3 linked regions of the Saccharomyces cerevisiae S288C genome follow. The gene in region 3 interacts genetically with the main gene of each other region. Each region holds a gene or a part of one and is shown on either strand. Other genes may lie near its edges. The genes, in order: RPL40B, FAB1 and DYN3.

Evidence for each region.
Region 1: mutations in DYN3 (region 3) and RPL40B together harm fitness more than expected from each alone (negative genetic interaction), as found in Saccharomyces cerevisiae (3 studies listed by BioGRID).
Region 2: mutations in DYN3 (region 3) and FAB1 together harm fitness more than expected from each alone (negative genetic interaction), as found in Saccharomyces cerevisiae (2 studies listed by BioGRID).

Annotation. Positions count from the first base shown.
Region 1 is NC_001143.9:617,481-620,891, forward strand, and holds RPL40B (ubiquitin-60S ribosomal protein eL40 RPL40B fusion protein), read right to left. Parts: upstream 1,271-3,411; coding exon 1,263-1,270; intron 895-1,262; coding exon 516-894; downstream 1-515. Other genes in the region: PTR2 (Ptr2p), read left to right, coding at 1-55; MLP1 (Mlp1p), read left to right, coding at 2,325-3,411.
Region 2 is NC_001138.5:182,374-186,133, reverse strand, and holds the start of FAB1 (1-phosphatidylinositol-3-phosphate 5-kinase), read right to left. Parts: upstream 1,633-3,760; coding exon 1-1,632. Other genes in the region: YFR018C (uncharacterized protein), read left to right, coding at 1,912-3,003; IGD1 (Igd1p), read left to right, coding at 3,273-3,760. UniProt on the Saccharomyces cerevisiae protein: The PI(3,5)P2 regulatory complex regulates both the synthesis and turnover of phosphatidylinositol 3,5-bisphosphate (PtdIns(3,5)P2).
Region 3 is NC_001145.3:863,912-867,510, forward strand, and holds DYN3 (dynein light intermediate chain), read right to left. Parts: upstream 1,440-3,599; coding exon 501-1,439; downstream 1-500. Other genes in the region: sphingosine N-acyltransferase subunit LIP1, read left to right, coding at 1-360; ADE4 (amidophosphoribosyltransferase), read right to left, coding at 1,648-3,180. UniProt on the Saccharomyces cerevisiae protein: Component of the cytoplasmic dynein which acts as a motor for the intracellular retrograde motility of vesicles and organelles along microtubules. May play an important role in the proper orientation of the mitotic spindle into the budding daughter cell yeast.

The sequences.
Region 1 (3,411 bases), on a different chromosome or scaffold from region 3:
CGATATTGAAATATTAGAACCAATGGAAAGTCTAAGATCCACCACCAAATATTAGTGCGTTTAATTAACTTACTGTCTTTTTTTTTTTTTTTTTTTTAACCATATTACGTTGACGGGAGTTTTCTGTGCTGCTGTTATTTGTTTCACAGAACTCTCTCCTCTTCCATTGCTATCGAACAGATAAAATGGAATTTCTTTATGTATAATTACTATTGTATAATATTCAGTAAATCTAAATTTTAAGCTCATATATCTAAACACTACAACATGGAAGCAGCTTGTCCTCTTCAGGCTCACTGTATCCGTTTACTCTTATTTCGCGTATTTGCATACCATTATCTCAAATGACTTGTTATTATATCTTGATATATATTGTATTATAGAACAATTTGTGAAGAGAGGTCCATATTAAGATTTCCTCCCATTTACAAATAGAATAGAAAAGGAAATATATATGTAGTAAAAAAATCGTGATGTATACAAACTTTGGATTTGTGGAGATCGTAATAAATCGATTATTTCAACTTCTTCTTTGGACGCAATTGGTTGGTGTGACCACACTTTCTCTTTCTACAGTTGGTAGCTCTTGGTGGTAATCTGGCGTAACATTTACGACAAACAGATTTGTCACAGTTGTATTTGGAAGCCAAGGCTTTCAAAGATGGTTCAATGATACCACCTCTTAATCTCAAGACCAAATGTAAAGTGGATTCCTTTTGGATGTTGTAGTCAGATAGAGTTCTACCGTCTTCCAATTGCTTACCAGCAAAGATCAATCTTTGTTGGTCAGGTGGGATACCTTCCTTGTCTTGGATCTTGGACTTGACATTGTCAATGGTGTCAGAAGATTCAACTTCCAAAGTGATGGTCTTACCAGTCAAAGTCTTAACGAAGCTGTACAAAATTGGAATAAGTTCATTTATGGAGTAAGCACAGACGTGCGTGCGTACATCATAAAGAAAGAAACTTCACGTTAGTAAAAAATATTTTTTATGCGACCAAGTAAATATAACTATGTTATGCAAAATAAGATGGAACAAACAAACCCTTCAGCACATATGCGACATTTTCAATTTGCTCTACAGATTTAATGTAAACTCAGAAGCTTGCCGCAGGTAATAGTTTTTCTCAATTGCTACTTGTTTAATAAATTGTGAGCTTGTCAATCATTTTCCATTTATGTCTTTCGTTTATGGCTTTTTTGCTATCGTATAATCCTCATATTATTTCGAACATAGTATTCTGTATTCGCCGTAACATACATTTGCATTTTGAACCTTTGGTGGCTTTACCTCTTGCTGAACGGGAAAAAGTGATATATAAGGTTGCTCTTATTTGTGTATTTGAGATTATGAGTTGCATACCCATAATGCCTGGGATAGATGGGTAATGGCTAGTATGAGGCGGATCATATGGCGGATTATCCGCCATATCCTATTGCGGTACTTCAGAATCTGAAAAACATGAAAAAAAAAAAAAAGTTCAGCAAAAATGGAAAGATTGCACCCAGACAACTACACAAATCTATTAGAGGCACGGATGGAAATAGTATTTAAAAAGGATTGTCGAAAGATGATATGGCCTCCGATGAGAAGAAAGGCGGCTATCCTCATCCACATATAGAACACAAATGAATGCCAATAGGTAATAAATCACTAAATCTACTAGTTTGTAAAAGGTTCGAAATAATATGTCATAAATTTCGCTGTTACCTTATTGCTCAGGCGCTTAACGCCAAATTGCATTGCCCATCATTGAAGAACACAACCTAACGCGTTAATATCTCAAGCAATGAATTCAAGTATCCCTATGCAAGAATTTAAAAATTTCTCTCTCTATTTGAACTGAACCAGCATTTTTTATATCTCTCCACATATCGCAGAAAGCTTTTCTACTCTCAAGAAAAAATTGAGGGATGGGTCAACCTTCCATAGATTCTATATGGAATAATAAAATTTACTTCTTACTAACATTATATCAGGGTGAATATTACTGACAAAAATAATAACTTAAGTCTTCTTTATAATATGATGATCGACGCGCGGGGTAACGCGCTCTTCCCATCTTTGTTTCCTTTCATTCCTCTTGACATGACAACAAGAGTATATGGGAAAAGAAAACTGGAAGGCAAATTGAATACAGACAGAGATATCAATAAAAGTGGTCCATTGAGTCTTACGGCGCCGGAGAGATACGCTCCATTTACAATATTTACTGATAGATATATTGCTGCCTGTCTATTTTTCCATCTCTTGTGCTGACTAGGACTTAACTGATACTCGCCGAAGCTACACAAATAGTCAGTAACGCCACGTTTTAGGATAATGTCGGATCATGATACTCCAATGGAAAGCATACAAAATGGTGAAAATTCAGACGAAAGATTGAACGCCATTGCGTCTTTTTTCGGTTGCTCTTTAGAGCAGGTTAAATCATTTGACGGTGATGTGGTAAAACACCTTAACGATAAACTTTTACAGTTTAATGAACTTAAATCGGAGAATCTAAAGGTTACCGTCTCATTCGATGAATTGAAGGCTAGTTCTTTAAAGAAAATTGATGGTTTGAAGACAGAAATGGAAAACGTTATAAGAGAAAATGATAAAATCCGAAAAGAGAGGAATGATACTTTTGTTAAGTTCGAATCTGTAGAAAATGAAAAGATGAAATTATCAAGTGAGCTAGAGTTTGTGAAAAGGAAGCTCGATGATTTAACTGAGGAGAAAAAGGAAACCCAGAGTAATCAACAGCGAACCCTGAAAATACTGGATGAAAGACTAAAAGAAATAGAATTGGTCAGGGTTGAGAATAATCGCTCCAATAGTGAATGTAAGAAACTACGCTCTACAATAATGGATTTAGAAACAAAACAACAGGGCTATATTACTAATGACCTGAATTCTAGAACTGAACTGGAAAGAAAAACACAAGAATTGACTTTATTGCAGTCAAATAATGATTGGCTAGAAAAGGAGCTACGTTCAAAAAATGAACAGTATCTCTCCTACAGACAAAAAACCGACAAAGTAATTCTAGATATCAGGAATGAATTAAATCGTTTAAGGAATGATTTTCAAATGGAAAGAACGAATAATGATGTTTTGAAGCAAAAAAATAACGAATTGTCAAAATCTTTACAAGAAAAACTACTGGAAATCAAGGGTCTATCCGACTCCCTAAATTCCGAAAAGCAAGAATTTTCTGCAGAAATGTCCCTAAAGCAACGTTTAGTGGACCTTTTAGAATCACAATTGAACGCTGTAAAAGAAGAATTGAACAGTATAAGAGAGTTGAACACTGCAAAGGTAATAGCAGATGATTCAAAAAAACAAACTCCCGAAAATGAAGACTTACTTAAGGAATTGCAGTTAACGAAAGAAAAATTAGCACAATGCGAAAAAGAATGTCTAC
Region 2 (3,760 bases), on a different chromosome or scaffold from region 3:
GATAATACGATTGGCAGGATCCAGTATGGAAGAAGACTGTGCAGACGAAGCGGGTGTTGCAGAGCTATTGTTACTGTCCTTGTTAACACTATTGCTGCTTACATAATGGAAAATAGACCTTCTTAAGGAATGCGCAGGATTATTGATGTTGCTGTTGCTATTGGTATTGTTATAGTTGCTGTTGTTGGAAGTAGTGTTGTTGAGGTTGTTGATGGTAATAGTGCTGTTATTGGTGTTATAATGTGGCCTCAAAGTGGAATTAGAGTTGGTATCGTAATGTGATATATTGTCCATATCTCTGATAGTGTACCTTGTGGGCACGGAATCGAGGTGATGATGGCGACCGGGGTTGTCATCTTGATAATGCAAAGCCCTATCGTTTTCCGAATCGAATGAGATTTCCAGCGATCCGCCTTGCTTTGTTGCTGGGATGGCCATCTTCGGTGGTGGTGGGGGTGTAGAAATGAACAATTTAGAATCTTCACCTGAGGTCATTATACTTTGTACGTCATCGTCATTTAATAGGTAGACCTCATTCTGCTGTTGAGGGTTATCCGTTGCTGCTACTGGATCATGGAGATCGGTACCGTTATGGTTGTCCTGTGAAATGAGATGCAAATGCGAATGTGAATGAGAATATGGATTGGTATTGGAAGAACGAGAGCGAGAGCGAGACCTTGGCTCATTCAATTGCATTGTAGAATCATTCTCTTCATCACTGGAGTCCTCGTATGTGTCTGCATGCTCATAACAATTGTAACATACTCGCATCTTGGCATGACAGCCGAATCGATCACCATCTATCAAGAGAGTGCAACTGCTGCAAAAAATTTGGCCGCATATCCTGCAGTGGTGTTTCCTTCTGAAAGTGTTAAACGTTTTACCACAACTGAAACATTCTTTAGAACTCTCGTCCTTCATCCAATATTCCTTTGAGAGGACACCATTGTTACTGGTCTTGTCCTTCTTGCGGTTGTTATAAAATGCGAACAGGAAACTCTTGGACAGGGATGCGGTCAACGAAGAAGAGGCACTCTTTATCGAAGACACTTCATCGCCAACGTCGTCATGATCGCTGTCAGGAGTGCGCGCATAGGAATTCTGCATGGAAATTGGCCGATTGTTCCTAATGGGGATAGCAGTAACAGTGGATTTGGAGGCATATATGCTAGATCGTTTAAAGTTGGAGTCGTTCTTAATGGGCAGCTGCAGCGAGTGAGAAGGCTTATAGCGACTCGGATATCTCTTGATGGTGCTAGAGGGTATCCTCCCACTAGTTGTTGGCGGCAAATTTTTCTTATTCACGCTGGTACTAGTGTTAGCATTAGCTTTAATGTTCGAATGCGACGCAGTGCCGGTCACGTGACTTGTTGATGTCGCTGTTGCTATCGAGGATGATGTGGGGGGGCTTATTTTTGGCACGGAGATATTGCTCAGAATTGGGTTTGTCACTAGATCCGTCGTAGTCGACGTCGTAGATGTCGACATAATGTGCAGGGACGGTTTCTTAATATAGTTCGGTCTGGATAAGGTAGCATCGATTGTGTTCACAGATGAAGTACCAGTGGAGGACGACCGGACATGTGAGCCATCTGGAAAGGATATAGATGCATGGGGTTCTTCCGATGACATGCTGTGTGACGGTCTTGCATGTACAGGATGGAAGCTACCTTGCTATTCGAAATAGTTTTTTGTTTGGCCCTTTATTTACTTTCCATATGGTTTTCGCGTTCGTCAAGAAGTACATTGCGTTTGCGTTGCCTTCGAGGCGAGACGAAGGAAGGAACATAAGAATATAAGAAGCAAAGGAATAAGACGGCTTGTGATACATTTCATGGGAAGAAGAGGGGGAGAGGGAGAGTTAGAGAGAGTCAACAGAAAAGAAATAAAAAGACTGAAAAGGTCGTAAGCATGGGAATGAAGTACGTATTGCCTTTGCGACTAATTGGTCTAGCGTACCTGTTGGTGCTATTTCAGGTGCATAGGGTAACTGGGTGGGAGTTGTCATATGAGCAGTACCATGCAGCGCATCTGAACGAAGCTATCAACCCAGACAGCGGTTGGAACAAAAGTACCAAGAACCTGCTGTTGCCTTTTAACAGAACGCGCGTACCCGGATCGGAAGGCTCGCGCGAGATCCAGCGCTTCATCATCGAGCACTTCAACAATACGCTGGCGGGAGAATGGGCCGTTGAGACGCAAGCCTTTGAGGAGAACGGTTACCGCTTCAATAACCTTGTTATGACATTACAAAACAATGCGAGCGAGTACTTAGTGCTCGCTGCTCATTATGATACCAAGATAGCGCCCACGGGGATGGTGGGCGCTATCGACAGTGCCGCCTCGTGTGCCGCGCTGCTATATACGGCCCAGTTCCTAACGCACATCGCGTGCCACGAGCGCACGAAAGAGTACAATGACTTAGAGTCGAACACTGTAGTATCGAATTCTACCTTGGGTGTAAAGATCGTATTCTTTGATGGAGAGGAGGCCATTGAAGAGTGGGGCCCCGAGGACTCGATTTATGGAGCACGCCGATTAGCCGCCCAATGGCTTGCTGACGGCACGATGACAAGAATTCGCCTATTATTTCTTCTGGATCTTTTAGGAAGTGGCGAAGAGGAGCCGCTAGTGCCCAGCTACTATGCAGAGACACATCAAGAATATCAGCTGCTCAATCGAATAGAGGATGACTTGTTATTTCGACGTGGAGATGAAATCAACGGCGAATCGGCATTAGCCGCCGAAGTCGCGCGTCAACGCAAACATCTGGACCCCACGGACTATCGATTTTTAGGGCTCGGGCATTCGGTCATCGGAGACGACCACACGCCATTCCTGGCCGCCGGAGTACCCGTATTACATGCAATCCCGCTACCATTCCCAAGTACATGGCACACCGTGGATGATGACTTCCGGCACTTAGACGCCGCGGAGACTCGTCACTGGGCGCTGCTTGTGTGCGAATTTGTAGTACAGTCACTACGCTCCCGTAACCAGTGATAAATCCCCTGTTTCCTTTCGTTAACATCTCCCCCTGATCTGGGGGATGTGGGGTGGAATGAGTGGCCCGGTCAATGTCAGTGCACCACTCTGAAAAGCTTGCACACATACATATACATATATATATATATATATGTAGGTATAGTAAAGGTTTGCCTGAGTAATTTTTGCGCGAGAGATCTACTATCAGCAGCGATGAGAGCAGCTACATAACACATAGTAAATCACACATCTACGCAACACACACACACACGCATACACTCACCCTCATGACAGATCCCCACTTGAACACGCCCCAAGTGAGCACGTCACCCACATTTGAAAGATCACAGGACTTCCTCAACATCGACGAACCGCCCTGTGCACAGGAAACACCTAGTGTTTCTACATTCAACCTCCCGGGTCCAAGCGCTCCCGCTCAAAGCGTAGACAAGCCAGTCCCCATGATTAGACGGCGGTCTACCAATTATATGGACGCACTAAATTCCAGGGAACAAGCCCGGGAACGCGAAAGCAGTATCGGGGAGCACGCCCCGGGAGCCGAACGTAGGAGTAGCGGACCCATGGATTTCCAGAATACTATCCACAATATGCAATACAGGACCACTAACGACTCTGACCTGAGCCACGCTGGCGTGGATATGGGTGACTCCATCTCCCATACACCGATCTGTTCTCGTGCTGGCAACAGACCCATTTTCAAAAACTCGTACCTTGACAACAACAGCAATGGTAACAGCGCAAGAGTCCCACACGG
Region 3 (3,599 bases):
TTGCTGATCGCTGCGGTTGAATACTTCAAGTATGGTACAAGAATTAACTATGAATGGTTCCATTGTACCCCAATCAAAGAACCCCAGTCTGGCTCAGTAATCAAGCTTTGGGCACGTGGTGGGCCAAGTTGTGACAAAAGAGGCGAATATAAAACTATAGTAAAGAGAATCACTAGAGATTATGAACCAAATGATGAACATCTCTCGTTCTGTATCATCGAGAATGATAATGTTCCACCCGTCCACTACCCAATTCACGAAGATAAAGGTGAACCTGGCTACGTAGCTTATGTCGGGTACGACACAGACTCTGAGCTGGTTCAAGAACTATGTGCTGATTCCACAATTTATCACATGTGAATTCTTTCTTTTACATACATAAACATAGAAGAAATCCAACCCTGATATAGGGATTTATAAATGCGTGTGCATATCTATATTTATACATATAAAGAGAAAAAAATTGCTCATGATAAAAGAAGTATCGCCTGCCCACTTTCCTAAATCCTCGAATTTTCCCTATATTTTGCGAACATTTTGCCTAATTCCTCTTGAATATTAACTTTGAAAACTTCTAAAGGATATAGTTTATCAAGGTCGATACCAGAGGTTGTTTTCCTATCTTCTCTGATTTTATCAATTGTTGGTATAAAGTCCATATATCGGGCCAAAAAGTGTTGCTCTTTCACCTCAGTAGGCTCAAATCTTTCGTCTACTGTTTTTATCAATCCAATAGAATCGCACCCCTTCGGTATTAATATCTCACTGCGTTTGACCATTTCAATATGATCTTTCATATCTCTATCTTCACAAAAATGCTTTAGAAGCTCTTGGTATTTAAGCCTTTGTGCTTCCTCTCGTTTCTCTTCGGTATGGTCTTCGCATATATAGAATAGTGAGCTATCATTAAAATAGCAAAACGATCTTAACGTTTGCAAAATGAAGTCAATATGTACTGACTGCCATACTGTAGTGTGTCTTTGTAAGTTTAATATTTCGCCACTGTTTAAGCACCATACAGAAAATTCATTATCGTCATTCAGTTGCTTAATTTTATTGAATGCGTAGGATAGTTCATTCAGCCACAACTTTTGGTCGTTCAGTGTCCAATCTAATAATATGAGCCAGCGAACCTTCGAACTATGTTCTTGTAAAAACGGCTTTAGAAGATCTAGTGCATCGTCAGTGTTTCTTATTAGCGTGTAAACATCGACAGAATAATTTTCCTTTAAGTCGTTGGTCCATCCTATGGTGGCGTAATTAATCAAAGTGGTATCCAGTATTGAATTGCTTCCCTCTGGAAAACAGATATTTATAAATTGATGCAGTGTTTTACTTGATGGGGAATATATGATTGCTGTTATCGTAGCAGTCTCTGTGCTGTTGATTGTGGATTCATTCTGAGACAATAATTTGTCCCAGGCATTACAATTATCCATTAATACATACAATTCTTTTATCTTCTTTTCTTTTTGTACAAGTTGCGGATTACTTCTCTTTGTTTACCTTTTTGCTTTTATTTTTTTTTTTAATACGTGCATATATATATATATATTTAGTTTAGGTCAGAATACAAAGATAATTATGTATAAATGGGCGCATTTGGAAACTATTTTACATACAACTGAACAAGTTCGGAACAATCTATCAATAATCTGCACAATTATATAATCCGATATCGACTTCAGCCTTCATATCTGATGAATTATTTGCGATCGATTCACGTTTTTCTTCCAATTCTTGAATATAACCGTCTTCAACACCAGTGACATAATTTCCGGTAAATACACCATCTTCGAATTTGGTTATTTTATCAGTTTTACAACAATCAATCAAATCTTCCAATGATTGGTAAATGACTCTTTCACAACCGATTACTTCCGCCACTTCTTCATCGGTTCTGTTATAAGCAATCAAGTTCTTTGTGTCTGTTAAGTCAATACCATAAATATGGTTGTAACGAATGGCTGGGGCAGCTGAAGCGAAGTAAACCTTTGTTGCACCGGATTCCTTGGCCATGTTAACAATCTCTTTTGAAGTAGTACCTCTGACAATAGAATCATCCACTATCAGAACCTTCTTACCCTTAAATTCAGACTCCATAGGGTTAAGCTTCCTCCTTACTGAAGAAACCCTTTCCCTCTGGTTTGGCATGATAAATGTCCTGCCCACGTATCTGTTTTTAACAAAGCCCTCTCTATAAGGCTTCCCTAACACATTAGCACATTCTAGTGCACATGTTCTTGCAGTATCTGGGACGGGAATAACAACATCAATATCTTCTGGCTTCAGTTGCTTTAGAATATTTTCCGCTAATTTAGAACCCATAGCCAATCTTGTGTGATAAACTGATATTCCATCCAAGACACTGTCCGGTCTGGCGAAATATACGTATTCAAATAAATCAGGTCTATAAGAGTTAATAGGAACCACTTGTTTGAACTCAGGTTCACCTTTGCTACAGTTCTTAGGGATGATAACTGCCTCGCCAGGCTTTAAGTCACGATATTTAGTAAAGTTGTGAGCTTTGAAAACAACACTTTCTGAAGCTAACATATAGTCCTTAGTGCCGTCCGGATTTTCTCTTTCACCGAACAATAATGGCCTAATACCATTTGGATCTCTGAAACCAAATAATGCAAAACCGGCAAGTAAACCAACGCAAGCATAACCGCCACGGCATAAACGGTAAACACCTTCTAACGCGTGGAAAACATCTTCATTGTTAACTCTGTACTTGTTATGTTTTTCCAGTTCAGCAGCAAAAATATTCAATAGTAACTCCGAATCACTGTCCGTGTTAATATGTCTATGAACGTCTTCATCCATATATCTCTTCAATGATGCAGTATTCACCAAGTTACCGTTATGTGCCAAGTTAATACCGTAAGGACTATTGACGTAAAATGGTTGCGCTTCTGAATTAGCCGAAGACCCGGCTGTAGGATATCTCAAGTGGGCAATACCCATGGAACCAGCAAGACCGGAAACACGTTGTTGGGTAAATACGTCACGAGCCATACCATTACCTTTACATTGGTAGATTCTACCACGAGAACCACAGGTAGCTATACCAGCTGCATCTTGTCCACGATGTTGTAGAAAAATGCATCCATCACATAACTCCGGAGCTACTGGAGTGGTTTGGTTTGCTAATACAATACCTAAAATACCACACATTTTTTCTATTCTGCTGTTTGCTGTACCTCTTTCTTTGCTAAACTTATTAGAACGAAATCTACTACTTTCAAGACGATGTCTTCGCAACTATGACTTAAAAGTGAATAAAATTGTACGGTGGCTGTTGAAATTTTTCTAAAATGAAAAAAAAAAAAACGAAGGACTTTACCTTGACTTAATAATAAGAATCTGAAAAGTACAAACCTATTATTGAAATTGTAAGTAAGCAAACTTTAAATACACCGAAGCTCTGACATTTGCCGCATGAGCAGTCATTCGGATTCATGATCCCAGATTATATTTTATTATTCATGTTCGTTCTAACTCTGTCCTGTTATTTTCGGTCAGGAAGAGTCAATACATCGGGTCATTGAAAAACCGCGGAGAAAGATAATAACTTTTCTTTTTTCCTTAAATCT